Danio rerio: one gene and its partners. The protein of the gene in region 7 interacts with the protein of the main gene of each other region in a pairwise test. Links are inferred from orthologs where the notes say so. Each region holds a gene or a part of one and is shown on either strand. Other genes may lie near its edges. The genes, in order: ror2, epn1a, hip1, pogzb, tax1bp1a, rnf115a and dazap2.

Region 1 (4,798 bases), on a different chromosome or scaffold from region 7:
ATAATACCTGCCGTGAGTATATCCGCATTCACCATCGGGAGGCGCTATAATCACTCTCGTAGGAGACTTTTGCTTTCACCATCCAAAATAAGAAAGTTATTCAACATGTGCGCCCGATAGCTCCGCCCCTTCTGCTACATAAGCAAACCTGCGATCGTTGAGTGCGTGAAGTGTCCATCATTACACACTTCATTTTACCGGCTGAATTAGTCCATCATCCGGGTAATTAAAGTGCACTGATGATTTTTTGACTTTTCAGTGTGAACACACTACTTACACTATTTATACTACAAAATGGTGTAAAATAGTGCACAAGCATGCGATTTGGGACGCAGCATATGTGTCTGGACAGATACAGTCCTGTAGTTCACCACTGCTGTTTTGGCTGTCAAATTCTTGCACTCAAGTAAAGAGCAAACGCATGCTGATGATGAGGTCACCACTTCCTCAAAGTCCCGTTTTTTATGGTTTACGATGAGAGTTTTTAAAATCCCGCACTTGAAACCCCTTTTCAAAAGTCCCCCTGTATTCAAGCCCCCAAAATGCCACTGTCAAGTAAATGAACATCCACAACATAAAATAAAAAAAACTTCGTTGAAAATGTTAGGTAAAGACAAAAAAAGAGTAGTAAATTGTCATTTGTTAATATTTGCAAAAGCTGTGATTTTTCCAATTGACTCTCCTTTGTCTAGCCTTTTTTTAATGCAAAATAAAAACAATCAACAGCGTATTCAAGTTTAAAGTACACTGTAAAAAAAGCAGTGCTGCACACAATTCATTAAGTTAATGATTAAGTTAACTTAACAAATTGAAGTGGATTGAACGCATAACGGTTAGGTTATCGATAGAAAATCTCAAGAATTGTGTTGTTTAAGCTCATTTTAAATAAGCAGCAAACATTTGAGTGTAAAACAATGTAGTTGTGCTCAAACACATGTGTGCTGCACCAAAAAAAAAAAAAAAACTCTGACCAATAAGCAAGAATGAGTCATGTGACGTTCATCCGTGGACACCTAAACGATGAGCTCAACTCTTCCGCCATAGCAGACGGGCCCATAATCTCAAGTGCCTAAAGCTTTAACAGTGGGTGATAAAGTTTGTTGGAGAGCCACCATTTTAGCCCCAACCCCCCGTTTAATCCTCATAGCAAATGGCTAAAAAAGAGCACATTCAAAACAGGAAATTTCAACATCTGTCACCCTCCTATAGCACCCTGCAGGGAGGGAAACGAATTAGCAAGAAATCATTCTCAAAATATGCATCTGATTATCAACAAACAAACAAATCTGGTCAAATTAAATGCGAAAGATCACAGTGTAGATTTACATTTAGAGAACTGAGATTAAGTGTTTTATGTTTAATGTTAACACGGGGTGTATGCGTGTAACCTGAAGGGTTTATGACATCATTGACCCGAATGTATTTTTTGCAGTCTCAAACTTCATTCTCTGTAGATTTGCTAAGCTATCTCTGTAAGAGCCAATGTCTCACTTTGCATTGAGGTTTGAGCGTCTTACATTCAGAGATGTTGTTTATGTTCACACAGCTACGTTACACACATCAACTAAAGTTTAAAAAATTATATTTTAGTAAACCACCCTTTTAAGGAGAAAGTGCAAATTTATGAATATAAGTCCAATTTTACCTCAATGAGAACTGATCAAATGAACTGAATCCACTTCTGTTGCAGTGTGAATACTAGTGTATTCATTGAATAGTCATATTTAGATGAAACACTCTCCCGTTCTTAAAATAAATAAATAAATAAATATTTACCTGAATGATGTTTAAACACAAACCTCAATTAATGAAAAGCATTAATACTTTACACTCGTTTCAATGTGAACGTCAATGTGAACTCTCATTTATAGGCCACGTATAAACGCTCTCACAACTCCAAAAAGATGGACAGAAAAGAAAAATGAATTTTAACTTAAATGAAAATGATCTGTTGTGAAATAAATGAGAAATCATCTTGATTGGGAAAAAAGTAATAACTTTTAGATTGAACATCAGAGAGTGAAGGCTTAGTTATTATACTGTATAGGAGTATGATAATGAATCCTCTCACATTAGCAAAAACACATTTTAAAAAAGAAGACGGCTTTTACATATAAATCTCTTTAATCATGTTGGTTTTAAAAGATTTAATGAGCAAAACAGTTCGGTTTTAATGTGCACATCTGTGTTAAAATTGAGGTAAAGTTGGATTTATATCCTCACATTTGTTCAGTGACATGCACCCTACATTATTCACCGTGGTACTTTGAAAATTCGGTCTGAAATCTCATGCAAGTCAAGTAGGCAATGACTTGAAAATAACATTAGCAATATTTATTTGCCTGTGAACAAAGTTGTACTTTGATAGTCATTGGCTGCTAATATGATTTCACTATTTTTGTATTAAGGAGAAAATCCAAATGTGTGAATATAAAACCAACTTTACCTCAGTCGTGTGAAATATTTCGCTGTAACAATTAAACACTGTTTCAAAAACACTGAACTAGAAAGCTAAATTTCTAGATTCATATTTAGGTTATCCATCATAATAAATCCTCTCATGTTTTTAAACAATAATAAACAAAAGTACAAATATTTTAGCGTGAATTCAAATACATTCATTTATTTACAAATATATAGCTCTAAATTAAGGTGAAACTCAATTTTAGCGGTGCTTGAAGTTATTTCTGTGAGCATAAAACAACCAAACATTTAAAACGCGTTTAAATAAAGCTCAGATAATCACAAATTGGTGTAAAATCCTTACCTGCATATGCAAAAGTTGCAAAGAAGATGAATGTGGCCACCAGATGAGCTCCAGTTGTAATCCTCAATATATGATACATCCTTACAGGGAACATTCCTCTGATGCAGCTGGATTTGGGAATCAGTGTAACAACTTCCAAACTCTCCACAAGTGATAACTGAGTGAGTGTGTGCGTGCGGACGAAACGCGCTTCCCCCAAAGTCTCAAGTGTGCACTGAATGAAACTCTTTTTGGTGGTTCGTTTGCAAAACAAAAACGCGTTTCATCCCGCTCAGCCGTAAAGGTGTTCGTCGACCGCCGTTGATCCCGTTCAAGTGTTCCCAAACGTATCCTAATAGGAAAAGTGAGCAAGTAACTCCAACTCCTCGTGACGTAGGAAGGATACATCCCAAGGGAGGGAAACGAATTTGCGAATCCTACTACGACGAAGGCGGAGCTCATGAATGTGTAATAAAGTCATTTTACATTCAATTAGCTAAGCCCGGGTGTCCAAACTCGGTCCTGGAGGGCTGGTGTCCTGCAGATTTTAGCTCCAACTTGCCTCAACTCACTTGCAATGATGTTTCTAGAAAGCATAGTAAGAGCTTGATTATCTAGCCCAGGTGTGTTTGATTGGGGTTGGAAATAAACTTTGCAGGACACCGGCCCTCGGACACTCCTGAGCTAAGCTAAATGCAAACGTTGATTGGCTCATGAATATTAATGAGGTCACGTGTCACAACGCTACAGGAAAGTAAGCGTGAGTTTCTTACCATAGTAGGTTTAGTAACTCAAAGTTTTTGATATCCTTGAAAAAACACGACACCTACTGGGGAAGAGACTCTTGGAAAAGGTAGATTTATTCTGTCTGGCCATGTTAAATTGATCAAAATTGATGCTATGTTTTGTTCTGATTCGTGCGGTTCATCTTTAAATCACGGCGAAAAATTTGCACCCACAAAAATACTAAGCAGGAAAACTGTTTTCTGTTCACTGACAAGAAATTAATTCATTTTCTTTTCAGCATAATCTGGGGTCGCCACAGCAAAATGAACCGCCAACTTAAAACCGGGAAATATCCATACACTCTCATTCACACACATACACAACAGACAATTTAGCCTACCCAATTTACCTGTACTGATGTCTTTGAACTTTTTGAGGTGAACAGAAACACCCGCAGGAATCACGGGGAGAACATGCAAACTCCACACAGAAATGACAACTGACCCAGCCAAGGCTCGAACCAGCAATCTGCTTACTGTGAGGCGAGCGTGCTACCCACTGCACCTTACAGACTGGGAATTAGTTATATAAAAATGTGTATATTTGAATATGAATAAAGACTCGAAGAAGAAAATCCCCTCAGATGTATTCAGAGGCCAAAACTAAACAAAACTCTGCAGTTTGATATTTATAATAATTTTATTAGACTAACATCAAATGCAAATTAATAAATTGATGCAATGCTATAAACTGATGCTTAAGAAATAAGTTTGAGATATTTAATTTTTATTCACATTGACATGGTTTTAGTATGCTTGAATAATCAATAAAAAACCTAAGTTGCTTCATTTGCAAATATGTTAATTGTATTGATATAAAAGCTATTTTAGATCTACCATCTTAAAATCAGCGATTAAATTAGAAGTATCGTTAATTTTTTAGTTTTTAATTTACTAAAAAGGATTAAACAGTGGATTGTACACAACAGAGACAAATTTTAATAATTCTTTTTTTTATATAGATTTTGTATGATTTTTATGATTCATGTGATGTTTTTATCTCATGAATAAACAATTTTTTTTATTATTTTCCAGGGGTGACGCTTTGGCACAATAGTGCTGTCGCCTCACAGCAAGAAGGTCGCTGGTTCGATCCTCAGCTAGGTTTGTGTGTAGTTTGCATGTTCTCCCCGTGTTCGAGTGGGTTTCCTCTGGGTGCTGCTCAGGTTTCCCTCACAAGTCCCAAGACATGCAGTATAGGTGAACTGGGTAAGCTAAAACTGTCAGTAGTGTATGTGTGTGAATGAGAGTGTATGGATGTATACCA
Region 2 (4,504 bases), on a different chromosome or scaffold from region 7:
CGCCCCTATGTGGCTACTTCATGAAATAGCATCACATTATAAATTTAGGAAAGAAAATACCAGGGAAATACTTGTCATCTCCTCATAACTCACCCGCTTGTATAGGTGAACATGACGCCCGGTTTTATCTGCCGAGTTAATACCGCACTCAGGACTGCTGTCACGGCTTCAGTCAACTCTTCTTCAGTACTAACTTACTACGACACCAAAACCGTGCAATTATATTGGTTTGGATGAATATAAAAATCATGATGCAAGATTTTGTCATTGTTGTTAAAATATTCTAGCACTGCTGCTTCAAAAATAAATAAATAATTAAATAAATAGATGAAAAGTAAGGAAAGAAAAACAAAAAGAAGAAAGAATGATGGAAAAGAGTTTAAATGACAATTTTGGTTAACCTATAACTTAATTTATAACCTATAACTTAATTTAAACTTAATTTATAATTTTGAAGACTAAAATCTATACAAAATTCTACATTATTTCCTAGAACTTTACTAATTTCTGAGGGCACTGCTTACAATTATGACAATTATGGTGCCAGATCAGTCTCAAAAACTACATTCATTCATTTTTTTTCGGCTTAGTCCCTTTATTAATTCGGCATCGCCACAGCGGAATGAACCGCCAACTTATCCAGCACGTTTTTACGCAGCGGTTGCCCTTCCAGCCACAATCCATCTCTGGGAAGCATCCACACACACACTCATACTACGGACAATTAAGCCTAATTCACCGCATGTCTTTGGACTGTGGGGGAAACAGGAGCACCAGGAAGTAACCCAGGCGATCACAGGAAGAACATGCAAACTCCACACAGAAACGCCAACTGCCCCACCCGAGGCTCGAACCAGTGACCCAGTGACCTTCTTGCTGTGAGTCGACAGCACTACCTTCTGCACTACTGCGTCGCCTCAAAAATTACAATTAAATTAAATTACAAAATCCAATTTCATACGTCACACATATATTCACCAAATGAATTGGATTTGTGTATTTTTGAACTGTGTTTTGAATATACAAATTGAATTTGTGTATTTACGAATCATGTTTTGAATTAACAAGTTGGAATTATGTATTTACGAATCGTGTTTTGAATTTACAAATTGGATTTGTATATATATTTTTTATTTACAAATTGCATTTGCGTATTTACTAATTGTGGCACGAATGAATCGTGTTTTGTGTAATTTTTTTTATCTTATTTTGAATTTACAAATTGGATTTTGCAAATGTGAATTGTGCTGTGCATGTAGGAATGATATTTTGTAAATGTATTATTTTTGAGACTGATCTGGCACCATATCTTCATTTACTCATTGACTCTGAAACATAAAACGAACTTTCTCACTTTTTTCAAGAAATGCACAAAAAGTAAAACTACCCAAACGTCGTATCGCCACGGCTTATGAATATTCAAATCAGGGAGCGCGCAAGGGGGCGCGGTCCGTCCGGCAGCGGGGAAACGGAAGCGGAAGTGCCGCCATCTCCTCGTACCATCCGAGCAACAGCAGGGTCAGTACAGACGATATTTGGGGAAGTATTGTAGTCTATTACGTTAGTACAAGCGGTTACATGACGCGTTATTTGTTTAAATGACGAACGCGACTCGAGGGGTGATAGTCGTGAAGGAAGAGCAGCGTCGCGTCACTCTGTCACGCACACGCGCGCGTCTCTTTATGAGTTGAGTTAGCATAGCGGCGCGCTCCCGTCTCTAAATGAGTGTTTTTAATTCAGCGCCGTGACAGAAACAGCAGCGCTTCGCTTTTCTGCCGTCTTCGCTGGTAAGAACCCGCTTTCTGGTGCTCGGCTAGATGTCTGGGCGTGTTTGAGAGGCACAACAGAAGCGCAACGGTAAGTAGCCTCCGCTAGCTGATCTCAAGTGCACTTGGTAGTGATCTCTTTCTATAAGTTTGAGCTACGGAGGGCTTGTTTTGAGCTGAAGTTGCTTTTTACGAGAGTTGATTGACTGTTAGGAATGATAGAATCACATTTGTTTGGTAGCAGGGTGGAGGTTTAGAAAGGTGTGTGTGTTGATTGATAGCTTACACTGGCATCTGTACAGGCAAAGATAAACTACACAGCACTTTAACAGATCTGGTGCTTCACCAACTGTCAGATTTCACACACTATCTAAAGCAACAGTTGTCTCTGTGAAGTTCATTGAATGTTGTTTATCTCCTTGTCAACTTGATTTGGAAACCACCTGTTGGCTCCCTGAATTCACTTTTTTTTTGGAGGTTGAAGTCAAGGTCCTTAATTGACAACAGTTCATTCAGACTTTTGTACTTTGCTCTTGGCATATTCAGAGAAGCTGGCTATGGGACTGTTATCAGGTCACAGCCTTATGCAAGAGTGCTGCATATTAATACACCCTATCATGAACTACAACTTATCACCTAGTCTTTGTCTTGATTGGCTGACACTCTTTACTGGATACATTTATAGTATGTTTGCCTAAATATAATGCGACCGTGATGTGGTCAAGGGTGAAAAGATCAGCTTATGTCAGTAACTGTTTTCTTCCTGTTTAGTGCTGTGTGTTTAACTTAATATTTACCATGTGAAGCCTGACATCTGAAATTGTAGTCAGTAAAAATTAACCAGTCTTTTAAGTTAGGATGGGTTATTGAAATTTGTACGAAATCCTGAAGATGTTTGCACAACTGTTAATGTTCAGTATTACATTAGAGAGGCCTATAAAGATCATTATTTTTTTGTGGTGAATATTACTTGTCAAACAAATATTTGTGATGAATGATTCCATTTGCTTTTATATTCGGCTTTTTATGTTGAAATGTTTTTAACCCTTTGACTGACCCTCCACCCAATAGTTGACCATGTTTTTACTGTTTTAAATAATGTCTGTATAAGTCATTTGAAGAATGAATGTTTTAAATATTGGTTCACACACACAGCATTGTTGGTTTTACAAAAGTCAAATACACATCCTGTTGCATTACTACACTTAATTGTGGTTTTATTGTTAGTTAACTTAAGTTATTTGTCGTTAAATGAGAATCTGAGATATTTTATGGCATACTTCAAAAAATAAAGATGATTTAGTATTGAAAAATGTTTGATTTTGATTATGTTTTTAAATAAATTGGTCTTACACTTCATATTTTCAAAATTTTCATAGTATCTGTATTAATTCCGGTACTTTTACCATATACCAATATATCTACCATTTTGTAGAGGCTGATATTTTATGAATTATGGGATGTGTTGAAATAAAATGCATTGACTGTGTTAACTAGCGACATTAGGAGTTAAGAAATACAATCCGGACATTTTTTTTCTTGCTAGGGGTAGTTAAAGGGTTAATTTTGTCTTGTAACGTATACCTTAATTTATGTAATTTAAAATACTAAAATCTAAATACTACAAAATTCTACATTATTTCCTAGAATTTTATTAATTTCTTAGCTAAAACGGTCTCAAAAATAAATTTACAAAATAAAATTCACACATCAACAACAGCATTATTTAATATTCTATTTTATATATTATCATTCAATGTTTTTAGATGTTTTTAATGCAGTAAAAAATGTTTTGAAAATTAAATATGATTTTTTTTATTTTACTTGTCAAACAAAAAGTTGTGATCAATGGTTTCAATGGCTTGTTTATATTTAATTTTTACTTTGAATTATCATAAAATATTTCTATGTGTTTTTAATGCAGTAAAAACAATATTCCAAAAAATAAATATGAATTTGTTCAGCTATAATCTTCAGCTCTCAACAAACCATAATAGAATTAGGGCTGCACAATCATTTCAGCATCGATATCGCAATGTGATCATTCGCAACAGTCACATCGCGAGTTTATGCAATGTAGAGTCTGAATTATAATTTCTAAGTGTTAATGTTTTGTGTTACATTTGAGATGCTTATCAAGATCATGATTTTTTGTGTTTGGTGAATATTACTTGTCAAACAAATGCAGTGTGTAATTTCTAATATTGTGCAGCCCTGAATGGAATGTTATGTAATATAAATTATATTATACTTAATAATATTATTATATGTGATGGAAGACCTGACTGAGTAGTATCTAATAGTAGTTATGTTCTGCCTCCACAGAAATAAAATAAGCATCTTCTCATCATGTAATTAACTGTTTAAAGACTAATAATCTTTGAAAACATGAACGTTAACTGTAAAAAATGGAGTGTTTTTAATCATAAATGCTCTATAAATGCTCTTTAACATATGCTAATCTGTTTAAAATTCATTTATTATTATTAATCATTAATTGCAACAGTCCTACTATTTGTTACATCAGGCATTTATTGATTATACATGATATATTGAGGTGGTGAAAAATCTTAAGGCTGGGCAAAACAATAGACTGTGATTAATCATTAGATATTTTTATGTAGATTCTCAAAAGCTTTGAATGAGTTTTTATTCCTATAATCCATATTTGGACTGCTCATACATTCAAAATACAAAGATGGACTCAATTGTAGATAGGGCTGCTCAAAATATCACAA
Region 3 (4,727 bases), on a different chromosome or scaffold from region 7:
TGCTGACAGCAGAGAAGATAATGATCAGTCAGGGCACAGACCAAAATGACTTCACACCGTCATTCTACTGAATCATTAAAACAAAACTCTGACTCTGCCATCTGATAGAATTTGCTTTGCAGGGAAATTGAATCTGGCCTCTGCCCATCAGAGAGAGAACAAAGATAGAGACTGCAGATGCCTACGCTATCTAATATAGTTATGCAAGCGGAGTCAGCAGACAATACAAGTTTGACAGTCACATGTGTTGATAAAGTAATAATGAGATTTACTGGTGCAGTGAACAAATGAGAAAAGAGAGAAATCAAGTACAAATTGTTGGCATCTGTGTGGAGTTTGCATGTTCTCCCTGCGTTTGCATGGGTGCTCCGCATTATAATCTTGTAACTCAACAGAAATAATGTACAGTACAGAATATAAAGTCATGGTGCCTTGAAAAAATAATTAATATAGTGTATGACTCCCATGAGCTTGGAGGACTACACCCATACATCTCTGCAATGAATCGAATAACTTATTAATAAAGTCATCTGGAATGGCAAAGAAAGCGTTCTTGCAGGACTCCCAGAGTTCATCAAGATTCTTTGGATTCATCCTCAATGCCTTCTCCTTCATCTTACTTACCCCAGACATGCTCAATAATGTTACGATTTATTAATTTTACGAATGTTAATGCTCAAAAATATACAATTTATTTGTGTGTGTGTATATTTCTATATATATATATATATATATATATATATATATATATATATATATATATATATATATATATATATATATATATATATTGTACATATATAAGAAAATAATATATATAGATTAATTGTATATATATGTACATATATATATATATATATATATATATATATATATATATATATATATATATATATATATATATATATATATATAGATTAATCGTATTTTTATGATGAATCATCTGCATCAACTGCATCACAATCATCACAAATACTGCATAAGACCTGTTTAAGCCCACATCTATCCAAGATTCTCAAAGAAATCAGTCAAGTTTGGTGAAGGAAAGATCATGGTTTGAGGTTACATAGCCGCATACGAGAGATCTGCAGAGTGGATGGCAACATCAGCAGCCTGAGTTATCAAGACATTTGTGCTGCCCATTACATTTCAAACCACAGGAGAGGGCAAATTCTTCAGCCTATTTATACACACACACATATTATTATTTGCATATTCGTCATGTATTTACATTTTTTAAAGTTGGTGTTGTTTCAATATGATCTCAGACTCAACAATTTTGTAAAAAATCTTAATTAATATTATTTTATATTACATATTATTACACTTAGGCCTACATATTGTTGCAATGTGTATGTGTATGTGGTTTTTGTTTTTTGCTGTTTCAATAGAAAAATTGATAATGAAAGCAGGCCTATTAAAAATCAAACTGGCAAATATGTGTGGAAAACACATCTACTAATTGATCAATTATGGAACTACGTAACATTGTGGAAATAGAAACTGTAAATGCGAATTAAATTGTTATTGTAGATGCTTTTTATATGTTATCTATACAGTTACTGTAATTATTTGTATATAGGCCTATGTTTGGTTGTTTCACTATGAACAAAAATGTTGTACAAAAAACCCTATATCTAACTGTTTATTCTTTTATTTTTCGTTGTAGAAAATCACGGGGAAAAACATAGAACCCGGAAAATACAGACTTTGTTTAAGCGTCAAGATAACTGTTTTTCAGGGCGGGAGCTGATGATTTTTCTCCAGTCGGTGTGTGTCAGCGCTGGGCGGAGCCTGTGACAGCCGCCGCCGCTATAGTCTGCTGGAGTGGATGTGTATACCGTCGCTCGCGCGCACTGACGCGCTGTTTTCTCTTGCAGATCTGTGATTGCGCGCACAGACGCGTGTTTTGCGCGCTCGCGAGCGGACAGCGGAATAGCGCTGGAATGATATCTATGGGCGGTGGACGAGGAAAATGACCTTTTGTGATAACGACGAGGACTTGAGGTTTTCGTGCTCAACGCTAGAGTCAACACACTATTTATGTTGATTTAGGAAGTCTTGGTCGCTCGCGCAGCTTGGACTTTTCTTTCCAGAAATGGACCGCGTCAAGAGTTCAATGCAGCAAGTCCCAAACCCGATCCCCAAAGTGCTCAGCCGTCGCGCTGGCGGTGCCAACAGTTTGGAAGTTGAAAAGGAAAACTTCGAGCGCAATCAGGTGAGGAACAGTAAACACAACCGGACAAGTTTTTTCATGTAGTCAGTGCATCGCCAGCGAGCTGTTTATATGGCAAGCCAAATTAACATATATTCATTTAAAATAACCACTATCAGTTTTAGCTTTAGCAAGTAGTAAAGCATCCATTCTGACAGCTTTTAGATACTACCATGTGTTCCTTCTCTGCATCCGTTACCGTCTTGGTTTGAACTGGTCAGAGCTTTATTCTTCAATTAAAATATTATTATTGTTAGTGTTTTTTTTTTGTTCTTTTTGTTTTTACTAATAAACTAAAATAAAGCTATTGTAATGTTATTTTATTGCTAGCAGTTCAAGTAATGCTAAGTAATGAATTGTCTTCCAGAAACTGCTAGTCGAAAGAGAATTAATTATTAATTAAAATGTTTTTATTTGTTTATTTTACATGTGCTATTTATTATTATTATATATATATATATATATATATATATATATATATATATATATATATATATATATATAACTATTAACTATACAGGTAGTGTAGTCAATGCTAACTGGATTGAACACACTGTCAAAACAGTAAAAACAAAAATAATTTAAGAAACATGAGAAGTGTTTCATTTCATTCAATGCATTTGCAGTTACTTTGTAGTTGCTTGTGCAATTTCTCAGTGAAAATAGTTATTAAGTTAAAGAACCTTTTACACTACGCCATTTTCAGCTGAAAATTGATAACCTTAAGTTTTTTTTGGTTCATTAACACGACAGCTGTGATTTGTGGGCCTGAGAATAAAAAAATGTATTAAAAAGAACGTCATCAACTACAAAAACATGATTTGTGGAAAAATGGTGATAACACACATATGCACATTGTTCACTCTAAAATCATGTGTGATTAATTGACAATAGAGTTTTCAGTAACCTGGATGAACCACTTCCGGTGAACTGTATGCAGATATAAAATCAGCATATTTAAGGTCTATTTTCTTTAAAAATCAACGATTTTCACTGCCTGATTGATATACAATATAAAGTGGGTGTCCAAATTTACAAGACGCACTGCATTAAATGATGTTTTCCCCTGTAATGTCTTTAAAATATGAAAATACATTCCACATTATTACTTTTTCAATGAAGCTAAACTTGACAGTAGTATATTTAACTGATTAGATTTTAATTGCATTACAACATTAATGCTGTAAAAGGAACCGTATAAAAATTTTAAAAAAGACACAATAACTGCTCACCGAAAGTTTATCGATGTGGGAAGAAACACTAGCTGTGCATATACCCTATAAAAACAACAATGTCTGAAAACAGGGCCATAAAAGTGCAGGTGCATGGGTGTCTTTAGAAAGTGACATCACCACCTACTGGCCTGGAGTATGTTTCACAGTTCAGTGTGAACAGGGATCCTTTTGACAGCATTGTTGTCTAATCATGAAGCTTTGCAAACACATGCATGAATTGCTTTCAAATAAATACTACTGGAAATAGAAAAGCCTCTAAATTTTCACTGTTGAATTACTATTAATCAAAAGCAAGTATTGTAATATAAAAGGACGTATTAAAGAAATACATGTTAAACAGCTTGCCATATCTGACAGCAATAAGACATGGCTGTGAGCTAAAACAAAGTGCATGATGATACAAATCAAACGGTCAGAAATTGCAATATTTTGTATTTAACCCATCATTAAAATCAATCTAGCCTTCATTATCATTCTGTCTGATGTGACATGCTGTTGTATAGTGTATTATAGGGCTTACTAGTTAGCGTGTGGTTTGTCCAAACCATAAAATGAATGTTTATTTGCAATATACAAGCGTCATAATGATAACTGATGACCTTTTAAATTCAGCTAAAGTTCAGTGCACTTTTGATCACGTCGCACCTTCAATTTTATCAGTGTCATTGATTAAGAACGAGAACAAAGTTCTTCCTGCTGCTCTCTCTTTATTATAGGTTAATATTCGCTCCGTAATGCCTTACGTTATGGAATTTCTATGCATTATAAGAGTGCAACTGACTCCTTAATATAGGAACATCCTCTGTGACAGCGTCTTGTGTTTCCAAGCTGATGCCCATGAATCGAGCAAGCCTAAAAGCTTTTAGTGACTCAGAGATGCAGTGGGCAGAGCCCTGATGGTCATGCATTCTGGTCCGTGCCATCAGCCTATAATGTATCTCCGTGCATCTTCAGTCTTTTAGATCTTGTTGACCGTAATGCACAGCCATTGAATTATGCAGTCAGGTTCTGGGTGCTGGAACCTGAAAGTGTGTTGTGAAGTATAAAGAAATGCGTTCTCATTGTTTGCGCACTCTTCTTCTCTCCTCTACGGGGGTCTCAACCCCCCCCCCCCCTCTCCCATCCAGACACAGGCATCAGGAAAAGTAGGTCAGATGAATGAAGCTGCCGCCGACTGCCCTACTGCTGGGTTTGGGAGTGTTTGAAAACAGCACGACCTCCTTCTTGCCCACATTTCTTCAGACGTTTTTTTGTTTTTTTTTGCAGCGAGCAAATGC
Region 4 (4,574 bases), on a different chromosome or scaffold from region 7:
CCGCGTTTGTGGTTCGAAAAGTGAGAGTAGCAGGGATCTGCACTGTGCTGAAAGTACTAGGCGTTTGGGCTCTGTTTACAACCGGAGCTCCAGCCCTTATTTGAGCAGGCTGGGTAATTATTTGGGTTGCTCCGATGGCTGGTTTGAAAATTTGTGTGCCAGGTGCTTAAAAAAGACATAAAGAAAACACTGTTAATTAATGCACAGAACTATAGCGTAAGACCATAACAAGAGCACACTGACATACCCTGGAGTAGAGTAATCGGTCGAACAGTTTGGCCTTGTTGGACATTCAGCACTAAACTCATTGGACCCTGGCCAGGCTGGATATTCTGGACAGGAAGACCCTGTATCAGATGAAAGGACGCACATAGATGAACACTTGTTGAGACAATGTGCTTTTGTTGAGTGATGTGCTGGAATCTATATGGTGAAATGGCAGCACCTGTGTGGTAAAGTAGATCGGCTGACTGTTGGTAACATTGGCAATAGATGTTCCAGGCAGGAGAACCTGTGACAGAGCCACAGTGCCCAGTCCACCTCCTCCTGGTGCCAAGATGACCGGCTGCCCTTGCACTGCTTTAGGGATCTCAGTCGGCACAACCGCACGTTGAGTTACTGAAAAAATAAATGACTGATCACCAAGAGTAATGCAGGCTGAATGTCAACAAGACTGCATCCATCTACTACTTTAGTAGTTGATATGACTTTTGCGCTCCCCTTCTAAGGATATTTACACAACAACAATGTACTGAAAAGTTTCTATTCGCTACAAATTTTGAGAAAATATGAGAAAACATTAGAAAACGGTTTGCAAAAGTTCGAATTTTGATGATTTTAATGATTTTAAAACAATTGCAATAAACACTCGCTGGCCACTTTATTACGTACATCTGTCCAACTGCTCGATAACACAAATTTCTAATCAGCCAATCACATGGCAGAAACTCATTGCATTTAGGCATGTAGACATGGTCAAGACGATCTGCTACACTTCAAACCGAGCATCAGAATGGGGAATAAAAAGGTGAATTTAGTGACTTTGAACGTGTCATGGTTGTTTGTGCCAGACGGGCTGGTCTGAGTATTTTAGAAACTGCTGATCTACCAGGATTTTCACACACAACCATCTTCTGGTGGCTACTTCCAGCAGGATAATGTGCCACGTCATAAAGCGCGAATCATCTCAAACTGAATCCTTGAACAATGAGTTCATTGTACTTAAATGGCCTCCACAGTCACCAGATTTCAATCCAATAGAGCACCTTTGGGATGTGGTGGAACAGGAGATTCGCATCATGAATGTGCAGCCGACAAATCTGCAGCAACTGTGTGATGTTATCATGTCAATATGGACCAAAATCTCTGAGGAATATTTCCAGTACCTTGATGAATCTATGCCATGAAGGATTAAGGCAGTTCTGAGGGCAAAAGGGAGTCCAACTCGGTACTAGTAAGGTGTACCTAATAAAGTGGCAGGTGAGTATATAGCACACAAATCATAAAAAACAATTTTATTCTTCATTTAACTCATAATTAAAAGAATTGTGTTTTTTTGTCATTTGCATTTCTTTAAAACAAGTCTTTTTTGTTGTTATTTTGAAGTGTCTGAACTCTATCCCCAGTTTGCTTCTCTTAAATTAAACAAACAGGTGATTCTTCCTAACTTAATTTGTGTTCTGGAGCATCATGTGAATGAGTAAATAATTATTAAAGAAAAGGAGACTCACTTGTATTTGTGATCAGCGGAACCGTGTTCGCCGCATTTACTACAGACGTTAGGCTTGGGATCACCATGGTCTTAGGCGGAGCTGGAACATCAACCACCGGGGCTGGAGTGGAAGTGACTTAACATTGGAGGACGACAAGTTTCAGATGTTATAATGATGTTAAAATTATTATTAAAGTAAAATATATATATTTCTGGAATATCTATAATTAACAAAAGTTAAGAAGATAATTAAAAACTATGTTAAATTTCTCTATAATTAAAAATATTACAAAAATACACACCGGAGGGAGTACTGCTTTCAGCATTTCCGGCTGGTTCATCCATAGACTGCTGTTGCCATGGCTCCAGCTCCTCCTCCTCACACTCCATAAACAAATCCGAATCCATGTTTCTGAAAGAAAGTAAACGTGTTTAAAATCTACAAACTGTGAGGGTACAAATGACAATTGGTGCATTATGTATTCATAAATCAAAAACATGTTTCATTTTAAATTAGACAAGTGAAAAATATTTTTGAACTGAAGACCCTCACCTTCTGACAGGAATCGGGTCCGACCAGTTTTAACGTCAAGACTGGCGTTTACAAAATCCCTTCATCCTGTAAATTATACAAATAAGTATATGAATAAAACATGAATAGTAGTACATTTTGTATTTATATACATTTAAAACAAACAAAAAAAAATCCTGCATTAATGGGGTTAACATCGGATATTCAGAGCGCTGCCGCATCACTTCCTAAAAATCTCCCAAAAAAGTGTGATTTCATCTAACCGACAGGGGCGAAGAGAAAAGTAGTTCCTGGTCACCGATATGCACTGGCTGAGACCAGATGATCTGACTGATAGAAGCAAAAGCATGAGCCTTGGATGTGTGTACAATAACAGAAAATAGGGCTGAAATACAAACTGGGTCGGAACAGGACTCAGCGCTGTGTCTATCACAAAAACTCAGTCACAAATAATGCAGCAACCCCTCGCGCGTCGCCTACTGAGTGCGCACTCCGCATACTGTCCTCCGCGCACATAACGAAAGACGGCCATCTAACGCGTGAATTAAAGCGCGTATTTGTAAAAAAAATACTTACCAGATTATAGTCTATATAGAAATATATTCAACGTGATATATTGAAAGAACACAAAGCCTGCCGGTACGTCACAGACGAGACGAATAAATGCGCTAAATGGGCAGAGGTTCTGTTTTTTCTCCTGCTGCGATTGGTTGATACGCTCAAAACGCCACTTCCTGTTTTGAATTCGCAACGCTGATTGGCTGTAATCTCTGAAATAAGGAGGAGTGGTTACTGGAACAAGAAAATGGCGTCCTTCTCGACAAACGACAACATTTTATACGGTCTAGCCAACTGCTGGTTTAATAAAGAAATGATTTAATTATTCAACACACTGTTAGTATTTTGAGGAGGACCTGTCAAAACCATCACAAACTGTCTTTTCTTAAATCAATTTATGATTTTGAAAAATTGCTCACACAAAATATCTATTATATAAAATTATTTGCTTAAATATTCATATTTTAGCCCTGGTATGCACAATGCACTGATAAATGAAATAAGTGTAATTTTTTAGAAAACGTTCAGTTTAAAAAAATTCTGGAACCGATCACGACATCCGGTTTCATTATGGCTCTGAACGCGGGTTCATCCGCCAATGTGGACAGAACAGCACACTGCAGAGTTCACCGCACTTTTCAGAACAACCGAGAACACAGCACGAATCAGGCAGGACCACTGGTCCGATTCAAAATCAAACGACTCTTATGACTCGGTTCTTTTAGTGAATCAAAAACATTCAAAAGTTCAGTCCATACACACACAATCGTTTGTTCGACTATATATATATATATATATATATATATATATATATATATATATATATATATATATATATATATATATATATATATATATATATATATATAGTCGAAGTAACGACTGGTTTAAACCGATTGCTTTAGTTAATTGTACATTATGAATCAGAAAGTCTGAAAGTTATCATAAAGACATCGAATGTAAATTAAAGCTGCATTCTTTAATTCAAAATATCCACAGCACAATAGAAGTTTTACCATTTATATAAGTAGAATATGCCCTGAATATCCTACTAAATTTAAGCTACAATCTGACAACTAATCATTTCTTAATTGTGCCGAGATAAACGTTTCATAATAAACGTTTCATAACCAGTCGAAGCGCAGAGCAGGTAAGCTTCTGTTTAAGTTGCTTAAGTCAAGCCCTATATATAGCATTGTGCACAGAGAGGACACAACGTGAGCGTGTTTTCTTCATGTTGTTTACTTCTGCATGCGAGATGAAGGATCCGGGCACATCATCTGACGGAGTGAACTATGGCGCTGTCCTCGCGCTGCTGGTGATCAGTGAGTAACGTTTTTTAGTACTTTCAGAAGTTTTATTATAATCTTATTTTAATATAAAAAATGGGTCTGGTCCCAAAACTTCTACTGCATCACAATTTAAGGCCCTGAAATGTTAATTAATTAATTAAATCTTTAATGGCATTAAATGCATGCACTACAACAATTAATGAATATTTCATTATTTTATATTTAAATCAGTGTTCATTTTATGCAAACCAACTATAGTTTTACATTTATACAAATATAAATATTATAATTATTATTTAATAATACTTTATTTTAGTAAATTGGAGTTAATCATGTTTTTCTGTAAGTTTGTAACACATTTTTAATGCAAGTATAGCTGTAAAACCATGTTTTTATACGCACACGCACGCACACACACACACACACACACACACACATGCACACACACACACATACACACACACACACACACACATAGAGG
Region 5 (4,039 bases), on a different chromosome or scaffold from region 7:
ATATCACTCTTGTTTTGATGGTTAGTTTATGGAACAAGAGGGTTGTGGCTTGAATCTGTCTGTGTATGTGTTCCCATGTGTGTTTTGTTGGATGTTGTGGGCTTTTCTTATGACAACTGAATCCTTCCCCATGGCTTCATTCATTCGTTAATTCATTCATTAATTCATTTTGCGATAGGATTTAGCGTTACATCAAATCTCTCTTAAATTGTGTAATACATAAAAATATAATTGTAGCGAGACTTTAATGTTACACTAATCTAAACGAGTGGGTCAACTTTAATAATATATATAGTTGAAGTCAGAATTATTAAACCCCTGAATTATTAGCTCCCCTGTTAGTTTTTCCCCCAATTTCTGTGTAACAGAGAGAAGACTTTTTCAACACATTTCTAAACATTAGTTTTAATAAGTCATTTCTAATAACTGATTTATTTGATCTTTGCCATAATGACAGTGAATAATATTTTATTAAATATCTTTTAAGATGCTTCTATACAGCTTAAAGGGACATTTAATCTTAGACTTAACTAAGTCATTAGGTTAACTAGGTAGGTTAGGGTAATTTGGCAAGTTATTGTATAACTATGGTTTGTTCTGTAGACTATCAAAATATATTTATAAATAATTAAATATATATATATATATATATATATATATATATATATATATATATATATATATATATATATATAGCTTAAAGGGGCTAATAATATTGACCTTAAAATGGTGTTTAAAAATCTAAAACTGCTTTTATTCTAGCTGAAATAAAACAAATAAGACTTTCTCCAGAAAAAAAAAAAAAAAAATTATAAGACATACTGTGAAAATTTCCTTTCTCTGTTAAACATCATTTGGGAAAGATTTAAAAAAAAAAAAAAGTTAAAGGGCGGCTAATAAATGTGATTTCAGCTGTATATGGAGTCATATTTAAATAATCAATGAGGTTATGGGGGAATTATTCCTCAGGCACTCAAAAATATTTAACGCACACACCTTTATTTGTGTAATCCCATTTATTGCTTTATGAACCACAGGCTCCCTCTGGTGGCAATGAGAAAGTACTTTTTCAGTGAATTGCATAATTTAGAGATAAGAGATTACTGCTAACATTTTCTAACACTTTCTATCTATCTATCTATCTATCTATCTATCTATCTATCTATCTATCTATCTATCTATCTATCTATCTATCTATCTATCTGTCTGTCTGTCTGTCTGTCTGTCTGTCTGTCTGTCTGTCTGTCTGTCTGTCTGTCTGTCTGTCTGTCTGTCTGTCTGTCTGTCTGTCTGTCTGTTTGTTTGTCCTAACTAGATCAGTAGATCGAACGATAGATAGAATGGTAGATAGATATTACTAAACTAATTAATCTATCAAAATATTTAATGAATAAATATAAAAATAAAACTATTAAATTATTAAATGCAGTGATACTAAAATGGCACAGGTACAGATGTTTTTTACTCACCTGAAATAATAAATGAAATGCTTTTATTCAAAATGCCACTGGTTAATAGAAGATTATCTGTTTATCACTTTATTGTTCAACAAATGTTTAGCTCTTTCCTAGAGATGGGTTCAGCTGGAAGGGCATTCGCTGCGTAAAACTTATGCTAGTTAAGTTGGCGGTTCATTCCACTGTGGTGACCCCAGATTAATAAAGGGACTAAGCCGAAAAGAAAATGAATGAAATGGTATTTCCAGCTTGGACACAGTCTATGTTGTGGTTGAAAAATCTTCTCTTTACATTTGATAGGCTGAACAAACATAGTATTCTTTATCAAGGAGAATGTTGAGGCACGTCGAAAACAGCCTTCCTTTAAGCAATACTACAATGCAGTGTAATCATGCATACACATGCATACTGTAGGTTTAAGCACAGAAACACACACTTGGGTACCATATAATTAACTTGTCGTGCACATGCCGAACATGTCCTTATGCACCTGATTTATAGTGAAGTCAGCCCTCTTATTATTTAATTTATCATTTAACAGTCCTGTATGTACAAGTATGGTTGTTTGAAACACACCAGAATACCTTCTCTCTCACTCTCTCCTCTTGCTCTCCTCTTCTCTGTAATTAATAGGTGATTTCTTCACAAACAACTCTGTGTCAGATGAAAGCAGAGTACTTTCCGTAAAAAAAAGGAATTACAGATGTGATATATAGTAATCAAAGTAAATGTTAGGTAGTGTTGTGAAAAATCACAAAGACAAATTGCTGACTGACTGTGTGTGTGTGTGTGAGTGTGTGTGTGTAGTTTTTAACTGTATGACGTAACTGTATGTGACACTACATTACATACTGTACTTGTTTTTGTCATATTTCATTTAAAACTGCATAAAAAGACATATAATCACTAATTTGTACAATGTACGGACAAAAAAAGAGTGGTTATGGAAGTGAAAATTTTACACTAGCTTCAAAGGCAGAATGGATGAAATTCACATGCGCACACGCTTTTCAGAGTAACCACACAATTTCTGTCGCCTTTGAAGCAAGTGTAAAATTTTCACCTTTTCCCGGTCCTTTTTTCCATTACGCCGGCTTTTTCCAGCCGTATATACCCACACACTGCACCCTCTTTTCGAAACTGGCTATGACTTACAGATGTCATGTTTTTTTTTTTTTTGCAGCTAAGTCTTTTCTCTTCTCTTTGTCTTATTGTGATTCCTATTCATTACCTGTGAAATTGATACAACATAAATTAATAGAACTTTCTGTTTAAATTATTGATAGTTTGTAACGTTGCTGTATTTTTGCCTAGGAGTTCCTTCTGTAGTCACAGTTTTTTTATTGTTTCACGTGAGTTGTTATGGTCATACTAAAATAGTCTCTTTTTTTTTCTTTTTACGGTAACCCTTTTCATAGGCCTTCATTGGTCAATTCACATTAACATTGTGTGTGTTGTGTGTGTTAGGTGGGCTGGAGCAGTGCAAGAGACTACTACACGTTTCTCTGGTCTCCCATGCCTGAAAACTACACAGAGGGATCCACTGTTCACCGAACTATCATTTTTCAGGGTATATACATAAACACATACACTCACACACATAAAATCACCACATATACCCGATGCAGTATGCAACAACAATTAGGGTAAGAAATTATTTTATACCTCTATATACACAGTTGAAGTCAAAATTATTAGCCCCCCTTTGAATAATTTTTTTTTTTTTATTCCCCAAATGATGTGTAGTAGAGCAGGGAAATTTTTACTGTATGTCTGATAATATTTTTTCTTCTGGAGAAAGTCTTATTTGTTTTATTTTGGCTAGAATAAAAGCAGTTTTTATTTTTTTAACACAATTTTAAGGATGAACTTATTAGCCCCTTTAAGCAATTTTTTTTTAATACTCTACAGAACAAACCATCGTTATACAATAGCTTACCTAATTCCCCCAACCTGCCTAGTTAACATAATTAACCTAGTTAAGCCTTTTAATGTCACTTTAAGCTGTATAAAAGTATCTTGAAAAATATCTAGTCAAATATTATTTACTGTCATTAGGCAAAGATAAAATAAATCAGTTATTAGAAATGAGGTATTAAAGCTGTTCTATTTAATAATGTGTTGTCAAAATCTTCTCTCCGTTAAACAGAAATTGGAGTAAAAAATAAACAGGGGGGGCTAATAATTCAGGGGGTAAATAATTCTGACTTCAACTATATATATATATATATGTTATGTAAATTACATATTTTTTAAAGTAATATTTTTAATAGGAAGCTAAGCTATACAATATTATATTTGTCCATAAACATTAGAATAGTCAGTACTGAAGCCAAATCTGGAGCTTATCCAACAAAATAACTTACGATGACAGTCCAAAAAATAGTACATCCAGTTATAGAAAATGTTAAAAACAAATTTAAAAAAGAGGACAAATCAAGAGAAGTAAAAATTTAGTTGCAATTTTGTATGTTGTATTTTATTTAATTTTTTTTGCTAAATTTTGCTTTAATTTAATTGTATTATCTTTCAGTTTCTAAATATGTTTGGTGATTAAAATATTATTTTAATAAATATATCTG
Region 6 (4,039 bases), on a different chromosome or scaffold from region 7:
TAGGCACGGGTTATACGTTATCGTCCCACAAAGTTAAGTATGTCTTGCAGTAAAACAAGTGGCCGACCACAGCTAATGTGCTTTTTTTCATTCCAAAAACGCGAGGCGCACCTCACTGCCTTAATGTTGACAAGGAAAAAAGAAGAGAAGAAGCGCGGTCCTCTTATGAAACGACTGAATCAGCTGGGTATCTATTGTGCAAAAGTGTTGCTGTCTATGTTGTTACAATTGTAATATTTAATAATATTGTGATATTCAAGATTTGTATATTCATACAGCTCTGGATAACTTAAAACAGCGAATAGACCTTCAGAGCGGCATTAATGCGTCCTGAAGTAAAGCGAAATGGCTATAAACTCCAGCAAGATAGAATGATTATATACAGAGTCATACTTTATCTTTAAATAAAGTATAACTATAGAAACTGTGTTCATCTTAACTGAAAGCTTCTGCGTGTTTGCTGGCCTCACGCATCGCGCACCTGTCAGTCAGTCAGTCAGCACGTAACCCCAAAGGATTAAACAATAGCGCACAACACTATACGGTTATAAAAACGTTTGCGCTGTTATAATCTACCTTTTAATATGTTTTGATGCGATTATAATCCGCTATTAAAAACAACAACAACAACAATAACTGAATGTTTTGAATGTGAATGTAGCCGTGGAGGGATGCATTTTGGTTTCCGCCATGGAAGAATGAATGTAGCGGAAACCATGCTCTTTAAAAGTTCTATGTAGTTGTCTTGACAACACAAACTGCTGCTCTGGGATGAGCCGCGTGCAAAAGATGCCCCTCTTAACGCAAAGGCGCATTCAATCGGCCCCTTATGCAGTCAAACTAAAAAATATATAAAATAATAATTTTAATAGTTTAACTGATAGCATTAATCGGTCACAAACACACCCTTTCGATTAACGGTTAATCGATTATTTTGAGCATCCCTAATATATATATAGAAATGTTAACATTTCTGGAATCCTAGGATTCAGGAGTAACAATGCGGTTTTCGCCCAGGCTGTGGTACACTGGACCAGCTCTATACCCTCAGCAGGGTGCTCGAGGGTTCATGGGAGTATACCCAACCAGTCCACTTGTGTTTTGTGGACTCAGAGAAGGCATTCGACCATGTCGCTCATGGTATTCTGTGGAGGGTGCTCTGAGAGTATGAGGTCAGAGATGCTCTGTTAAGTGCTGTCTTATCCCTGTATGAACAGAGTATAAGTCTGGTTCGCATTGCCGGCAATAAGTCAAACTTGTTGGACTCCGGCAGGATTGCCCTATGTCACAAATTTTGTTCATAATTTTTATGGACAGAATTTCAAAGCGCAAGAATTTTCTCATCTCTGTTTTTTGCAGACGATGTCATTCTGTTGGCTTCATCGAACATGGACCTTCAGCATGCACTGTGCCGGTTTGCTGCAGAGTGTGACGTGGCTGGGATGAGAATCAGCACCTCCAAGTCCAAGGCTATGGTGCTCCACAGGAAAAAGGTGATTTGCCATCTCCGGGTTGGAGGAAAGTCTTTACAGCAGGTGGAGGAGTTCAAGTATCTTGGGGTTTTGTTAACGAGTAAGGGAAGGATGGATCGTGAGATTGACTGGGGATTGGTGCAGCAGCAGCATTAATGCGGTCGATGTACCAGTCCGTTGTGGTACCGGTCTGTGGGATTTACCAGTCAATCTACGTTCCTACTCTCACCTATGGTCGTGAGCTTTGGGTTAGGACTGAAAGGACAAGATCTCAGATACAGCCAAAATGAGTTTCCTTTGCAGGGTGGCAGAGCGCACCCTCATAGATAGAAGAGCCGCTGCTCCTCCACAGAGAGAAGTCAGCTGAGGTGGCTTGGGCATCTGTTTCTGATGCCTCCTAGATTTTACCTAGTGTTCCAGGCATGTCCCACCAGGAGGAATGCCTCGGGATCGCCTCAGAGGAGCTAAAGGAAGTGTCTGTGGAGAGGGAGGTCTGGGGTTCTCTCCTAAGACTGCTGCCCCTGCGACCCGGCCCCAGAAAAGTGGTTGAAAATGAATAAATAACATTTTCCAATATTGTGCAGCCCTAATGCACACACACACACACACACACACACACACACACTTTGCTGTTCCACTACCTGTGTGATGACTGCATCCAGACCGCCCTGGCCCCACGCATAGTCCCCGGGGTTTGAGTGCAGCATGCTCGTCCTAACATACAAATATCAAGTTGTAACCATGAACTTATCATTAATTTAAAAGATAATTGGTTTTACACTCATTATATATAAAGTAGTAGTCAACATTTGAAGTTTATCAAAATCTTTCATCACAAGTTGTAATAAAAATGTCATTTGAACACTCATTCTAGTCTAAGGACAATATACAATTTTTTGATCCACTTAAAATGTCCAATGATATATACACACATATAATTTTGTTCAAATTATACATAACAGATATTTAAATTATATACAGAGAGACTTGTATATCATTTCAACAAAATGAGAATACAGATATGTTTTAATTTGTTGTGATTGAAAACAAGGGTTCCAATCCAATACTCATTGATTTCTTACCACCTCTTTGGTTAAAATGTGTTATTTTACAAAAAAAAAAAAAAAATAGAAAACGTTTAAAAACACAGCATCCTTATTATTTTATGTAAAAATGCTCTAAATAAAAACATTTAAATATGGGAAAAATGTCATCAGTAGTTTACAGAATAAAACAGAAAAAAACATAAATACAGAGAAACTGAGCATTTTCAACCATATATTAAAGTATTCTTTACCATGACACTGGAGGAGAGCCTGGTACTCCTGAATTGGCAAAAAGGCCTGCGAGAAACTGCTGTACGATTCTAGAAGGAGAGAGGAGACATCGGTGAGGAACTGATATTGGCTCTGGGGAATTCTGCCAACTTCCTTCATTTTTGTATTGATATTTCAGGGGTTGTCAGCTGACTCATCCAGTGCATGCATATATTGGCAGCAATGTTAAGCACTACACATTTGGTCATCCACATTTTTTGAGGAACAAAACTGTTTTACTGTGTCCTGCATGCTGCTAAAACCAGAGATTCAACAGAACAAATATGCTACCTACAGAAATACTACATGAGGCCTAAAATTACTGGTTATTTTATTACAAGTTTTGTTTTTCATTTTTATGTGTTCATAATAATGCCACTAATTTTAGGTTTATTTCATAATTACTGAAGAAATCTAAATGCAATATTCTAGACATTTATAATATACAGCATTAAGTGCCCAATGCACACTAAGTAAATAACAGACACCTTTTGATTGATTTTCTATTAAGATTATTGTATATGAAATTTGAAGCCAAAAACTGAACACAGCATCTTTATGGCCTTTACACAGAACATGTATTTTCAGCTTTGAATACAAGAGGCATGCTGCAGTGTGCTGTGTTACTTCATGTTATTAGGCAACCACTGAATCAGCTGTTCTGTCACAATTGATAGCCCACATCTCAGTTCATTCTATTGGACAACGAAAGAGAAAAAAAAAGTGACGAGGTTGAGCTCAGTTAAAACGTGAGGTGCATGATACACACAAGCAGCATGCAAAACTATCATTGTCAATAGAAGACAAAAGGCATTTCTTATTAAAAAAGCTTGACAACGAGCCTTGTAATGTGCTTGTTCATCAGTATTTAAACAGAATGTTTAATGAAGCTCAATGGTGCATTTACAATGCAACATTACTGCATAAATATTTTTATGCTTTTTCTAAATATATTTGGCTATATTTGGCTAAGTCCTTTTATTAATCGGGGTTGCCACAGCAGAATGAACCACCAACTTATCCAGCATATGTTTTAGGCAGCGGGTGCCCTTCCACCCGCAATCCATCACACCCATCCATTCTCATTCACACACATACACTACAGACACTACAGCTTAACTTAAAAAAAATGTTTAAATCCAGGAAATCTTTGAAAAAATTACCAGCATTCCTCAAAATATCTTATTTTGTGTTCAACAGAAGAAAAGTCATTCATTTTGAATAAGTGTAAGCACAGAATTTGAATTATTC
Region 7 (4,039 bases):
CACAATAAAAAAAACAATAATAATGCTTGATGTGCCAAAATACTGAAAAATAATAAAAAGTCTCTTGATTATAAGCCCTGACCTCTGTAAACAACCTTATTTTGCGTAAAATACGAAAGAAAAACCCTAAAAAAAATCTGTGAGAAGCACATAGAGCTGGAACACACGCCGAACTAAGTGAAACTGCTGTATGTACAGCTCTGGGTATCCGACAAAGGAGGGAAAATATTGAAGAAACCACAAAAAAAAAAAGAAAGAAATCCAACTTTTCTGAACCGGTTTTGTTGATCTTGTTCGCACTCTCTTGTACTGCATTTAGGTTCATTCATATTTAAATTCCTTAGCTTTTAAATAATGGTGCAATTTTGGCACCTGATAACATTTATATAAGCTTGCCCAAAGGTACAATACACCACTGTTGTTGTTGTTTCAGTTTGTAAACACATCTTTCTCTTTGATTTAGACGGCTTAAATTCGCATTTGACATATCTGGCAAGACCGTAATAATGATATGAATGAGCATGGATAAGCGTACTATTCAAAGAGAAAGGTTTGAGTGCATAGCTACTTTACACAGATGATCAAACTGACCGGGCAGTTTTCTTGGCATGATCTCTGGCTCTAAAACCAAAACAAAAGTAGTACTGTTAAAAAAAATGAAGCTGCAAGAGGTATGCCAGTTCCGCTAAAGGTAAAAATGACCTGGTTTTCACCTTAAAAGTCGTCTTCCCTCTATAACCAATAATTAAACGACACGTATGAGCAAACCTACAATTACCATGCGCTTTTTTAATTGTGAATACGCATTACACATTATATAATTGCAATATTACACAATCATATCAACAGTGGCGCATTGTACCTCGAGTAAGGGGCTCTAAAATATTACATTCCATTAGATTAAATCAGTATTGTGGCTTAGCCAAGCAGCCCCAAAGGAGGCAGGGGGGTGGGAGAACAGGTAAAGGGAACCAGGGGGTGGGGAGGAAGGAAGGAGGGCTTCGGTCCAGGCCCAGAGGGGTGTTCACTGTTACCAGATGGTGTAACCACCGCTGGAGCCACCCATGAAAAAGTTGCCCTTGCGCTGTGTCATCACGACATTTGCACCCTGCATGGCTGCCATCTGAGCCGCGTTAGGGAGGTGTCCGGGAGGTGGAGGCTTCAAAAGAGAGAAAAAGATGGACATTTTATATACACAATTCATTTTCAGTCACATACATGCCAGGGGAAAAGGTCATAGCAGTGCATTTGCATCTATTTGTCTCAGTTGTGCAAAATACAGTTTTCATGGATTTCTAAAATTGTCCATTTTGGATGGTAGACTTTGAGAGGTGACATTTTCAAGGTAGACCGAAACCAGCAAAATTCATAAGACCTTCAAATAGAGCCAGTGTTTCTCAACCACGTTCCTGGAGGACCACCATCTCTGCACATTTTCCATGTAACCAAACACACCTGAATCAGATCATCAGCTCATTAGCAGAGACTGAAATACCTGTAATAGATGTGACAGAGAAAGGAGACATCCAAAACGTAGTGTTGGTGAGCCTCCAGGAACATGGTTGAGAAACACTGAAACACACTGAACCAGGAATTTTCAATTTACTGATTTAATGATGACTAAAATGGCTAGAAAAGTGGAATACATCACTTTGTACCAAACTAATCTGTAAACACGTTTGGCATAGCCCCTTCTTTCAATTCTATTATGAAATTATAGTAGGAGATTGCAGATTTGTTCTATTTTGTCACTCAATTTTTAACACTGACATTTGTCAAACATTCATCAGAAATAGTCAATAAATTTAGCATTCACTTCAAATGAATACTAATTAATGATCAGTTGACGCCCTACAGGTTGAAAGCTTCTTGCATATCACGATTTCACTTTTTTATAGGACTCAAAATGTGGGAAATCATACTATTATTATGGCTAACATTAATGTAATGTATGTAAAAGTAATAATTGTACAACTTATATTTACATAATGATATAATCAACTGATAACAGGTCAATATAATACATTCCATGATTTCACACCTTAAGTAATAATAAAAAAATTTAAAAAACGAGTACCGATTCTGATGCTTCAAGCTTTATAATGCATAAAGCACAGCATTTCACCTCCAAGTATGTTACAAGTATGAGAGCTCTCCTAAGAGCAGGGGTGTCCAAAGTCGGTCCTGGAGGGCTGGTGTCCTGCTGACTTTAGCTCCAACATGCTTCAACACACCTGCCTGGAAGTTTCTACTATACCTTGCAAGAGCTTGATTAGCTTGTTCAGGTGTGTTTGATTAGGGTTGGAGCTATACTCTCCAGGACACCGGCCCTCCAGGACCGAGTGTGGACACCCCTGCCGAAGAGAATAAATAAAGGATGTTGCACATATAACCCTAAACATGTCTCTTATAGCCGTTTAGTGTGAACATGTCAAGGCCAGAAGCAGCTTCATAGAAAAATAATAGATAAAAAAAATTGTTAAGAAAATTGACTATCAAAACAATGCAAATGACGGAAGAATTCAACACCTCTCAACGAAGAAAGGTTTGGAGTGCATATTTGATGCATAAGTTAAAATGCACACCTATAATTCTATACATCTCTAAAGGTCTAAAAACATGGAATATTTCATATTGATTTTATCTGAAGTCACGATATCAGCAGCTTACACTCATTTGTGGCAAACCTTCATGTCGTTTTCGGGTCAAATCTGACCGATTTACAATTTAAAACACTCATAAAAATTGTGTTTTACATCTGATTGCCTCGAGGCTTTATGATATCCTTCACACTATGTACTTGAACATATAGTGATGATCCCCTCTTTCATTTTCATTCAATTTTGAGTGTTTTAATCAATTTTGTTACACCTGTGGTGTTCCTGGTCAAAAGTAACCGCCATATGAAATGAATGGGTCTTCAGATTGGATTCATCTATCAGATAGAAAACACCCACCCCATCTCAATCACTTACTCACTCACACACTTATTTTAGACTGATTTTTGTTTTGTTTTTGTGAGCTCATTTAAGAGCAGTTAGAAGCAGAATGGTCAATTTTGACCAGGAACACAACAGTAGGGTTAAAAGTATCTACTTTTTTATAGTGCAGTATTTAAATGTAAAGTGTTTATGTTTTAATCCAACCTCTTCTTTTTTGATTTAATTGCAAGTGTAAAAGATGTCATTTTCTAAATTGTTGACATGTTAAATTGTACATCATGCTTTGTCAAATGCCTCAAGATATCAAAACTTACACCTGTGACTAGTAGTAAAATTCAAAATCTCGAGAGAAAGTTATGAATTCATTGCCATATCAGCTTCATTTTAGAAATTTCACTTTTCTATAATACACAAACAATAAAAAGGACATCACAGTAATAAATAATAATAAAATAATTTTAAAAAATTAGATTTAAAAAAATCATTTTGAGATTTACTTTTGATAAAAATTCTAGTATTTTTTGAAGGATTCCCATTTAAAAATATTCCCTTTAAAGTCTCGCCACATATTTTATTTATTTATTGCCACATCAGCAATTTGTGGCAATTTCATGGCAAAGTCAATATACATAAAAACATCATATAGGACTTGATACACAAACAAATATATAAATAAATACAATTCACAATAACTGTTTATTAAAAGTTAAATATGATTTTATAAATAACTTCATCATGATGAAACTTTTTATTGAACATCTTTCAAAGTGTTTTCTTTATAAAATCTTGTCCTTAAACATTCACAATCTAATATGATGTGTTTTATGGTGAGAGCAGCTTGACAGTAATTACATGTTGGTGGAGATAAAAATAAGGATAAAAATCATTGACTGATAAAATTAAAAATAAAGCATTTCCATAGTATGTTTTAAATTATCCTTTGAGTAAATGTCTATGAGTGAGTCCTGAGCGTCTGATATGGCATCTTGTGTAAACAACCTCATCATGTCTTTTCATGTCATTCAGATTTCTTCAGATTTCTAAAAGTTTTCATCATTGTGACCCTCAAGCATAAACTGAGCTTGACTAATATAATG

What was found.
Region 1: the proteins of dazap2 (region 7) and ror2 interact in binary tests that used the Homo sapiens proteins (3 or more experiments, as listed by UniProt). The two-hybrid records come from large-scale screens. The link is inferred for Danio rerio from reciprocal best matches to the Homo sapiens genes DAZAP2 and ROR2.
Region 2: the proteins of dazap2 (region 7) and epn1a interact in binary tests that used the Homo sapiens proteins (3 or more experiments, as listed by UniProt). The two-hybrid records come from large-scale screens. The link is inferred for Danio rerio from reciprocal best matches to the Homo sapiens genes DAZAP2 and EPN1.
Region 3: the proteins of dazap2 (region 7) and hip1 interact in binary tests that used the Homo sapiens proteins (3 or more experiments, as listed by UniProt). The two-hybrid records come from large-scale screens. The link is inferred for Danio rerio from reciprocal best matches to the Homo sapiens genes DAZAP2 and HIP1.
Region 4: the proteins of dazap2 (region 7) and pogzb interact in binary tests that used the Homo sapiens proteins (3 or more experiments, as listed by UniProt). The two-hybrid records come from large-scale screens. The link is inferred for Danio rerio from reciprocal best matches to the Homo sapiens genes DAZAP2 and POGZ.
Region 5: the proteins of dazap2 (region 7) and tax1bp1a interact in binary tests that used the Homo sapiens proteins (3 or more experiments, as listed by UniProt). The two-hybrid records come from large-scale screens. The link is inferred for Danio rerio from reciprocal best matches to the Homo sapiens genes DAZAP2 and TAX1BP1.
Region 6: the proteins of dazap2 (region 7) and rnf115a interact in binary tests that used the Homo sapiens proteins (3 or more experiments, as listed by UniProt). The two-hybrid records come from large-scale screens. The link is inferred for Danio rerio from reciprocal best matches to the Homo sapiens genes DAZAP2 and RNF115.

The regions. Positions count from the first base shown.
Region 1 is NC_133185.1:5,739,503-5,744,300, reverse strand, and holds the start of ror2 (tyrosine-protein kinase transmembrane receptor ROR2), read right to left. Parts: upstream 3,090-4,798; 5' UTR 2,862-3,089; coding exon 2,768-2,861; intron 1-2,767. UniProt on the Homo sapiens protein: Tyrosine-protein kinase receptor which may be involved in the early formation of the chondrocytes. It seems to be required for cartilage and growth plate development. Phosphorylates YWHAB, leading to induction of osteogenesis and bone formation.
Region 2 is NC_133191.1:13,093,800-13,098,303, forward strand, and holds the start of epn1a (epsin-1), read left to right. Parts: upstream 1-1,470; 5' UTR 1,471-1,518; exon of another isoform or gene 1,519-1,857; intron 1,858-4,504. UniProt on the Homo sapiens protein: Binds to membranes enriched in phosphatidylinositol 4,5-bisphosphate (PtdIns(4,5)P2). Modifies membrane curvature and facilitates the formation of clathrin-coated invaginations. Regulates receptor-mediated endocytosis.
Region 3 is NC_133190.1:19,452,931-19,457,657, reverse strand, and holds the start of hip1 (huntingtin-interacting protein 1), read left to right. Parts: upstream 1-1,861; 5' UTR 1,862-2,098; coding exon 2,099-2,218; intron 2,219-4,727. UniProt on the Homo sapiens protein: Plays a role in clathrin-mediated endocytosis and trafficking. Involved in regulating AMPA receptor trafficking in the central nervous system in an NMDA-dependent manner. Regulates presynaptic nerve terminal activity.
Region 4 is NC_133191.1:42,522,614-42,527,187, reverse strand, and holds the start of pogzb (uncharacterized protein LOC561483), read right to left. Parts: upstream 2,881-4,574; 5' UTR 2,820-2,880; exon of another isoform or gene 2,507-2,819; intron 2,331-2,506; 5' UTR 2,265-2,330; intron 2,124-2,264; 5' UTR 2,120-2,123; coding exon 2,014-2,119; intron 1,848-2,013; coding exon 1,731-1,847; intron 619-1,730; coding exon 446-618; intron 348-445; coding exon 248-347; intron 166-247; coding exon 1-165. Other genes in the region: si:dkey-23o4.6 (retinol dehydrogenase 12), read left to right, coding at 4,036-4,126. UniProt on the Homo sapiens protein: Plays a role in mitotic cell cycle progression and is involved in kinetochore assembly and mitotic sister chromatid cohesion.
Region 5 is NC_133194.1:21,851,541-21,855,579, reverse strand, and holds part of tax1bp1a (tax1-binding protein 1 homolog A), read left to right. Parts: intron 1-2,924; coding exon 2,925-3,027; intron 3,028-4,039.
Region 6 is NC_133191.1:14,581,803-14,585,841, forward strand, and holds part of rnf115a (E3 ubiquitin-protein ligase RNF115), read right to left. Parts: intron 2,839-4,039; coding exon 2,770-2,838; intron 2,341-2,769; exon of another isoform or gene 2,187-2,340; coding exon 2,114-2,186; exon of another isoform or gene 1,360-2,113; intron 1,173-1,359; exon of another isoform or gene 1,018-1,172; intron 1-1,017. UniProt on the Homo sapiens protein: E3 ubiquitin-protein ligase that catalyzes the 'Lys-48'- and/or 'Lys-63'-linked polyubiquitination of various substrates and thereby plays a role in a number of signaling pathways including autophagy, innate immunity, cell proliferation and cell death.
Region 7 is NC_133198.1:36,683,673-36,687,711, reverse strand, and holds part of dazap2 (DAZ-associated protein 2), read right to left. Parts: intron 3,141-4,039; exon of another isoform or gene 2,337-3,140; intron 2,132-2,336; exon of another isoform or gene 1,562-2,131; intron 1,160-1,561; coding exon 1,031-1,159; 3' UTR 1-1,030. UniProt on the Homo sapiens protein: In unstressed cells, promotes SIAH1-mediated polyubiquitination and degradation of the serine/threonine-protein kinase HIPK2, probably by acting as a loading factor that potentiates complex formation between HIPK2 and ubiquitin ligase SIAH1.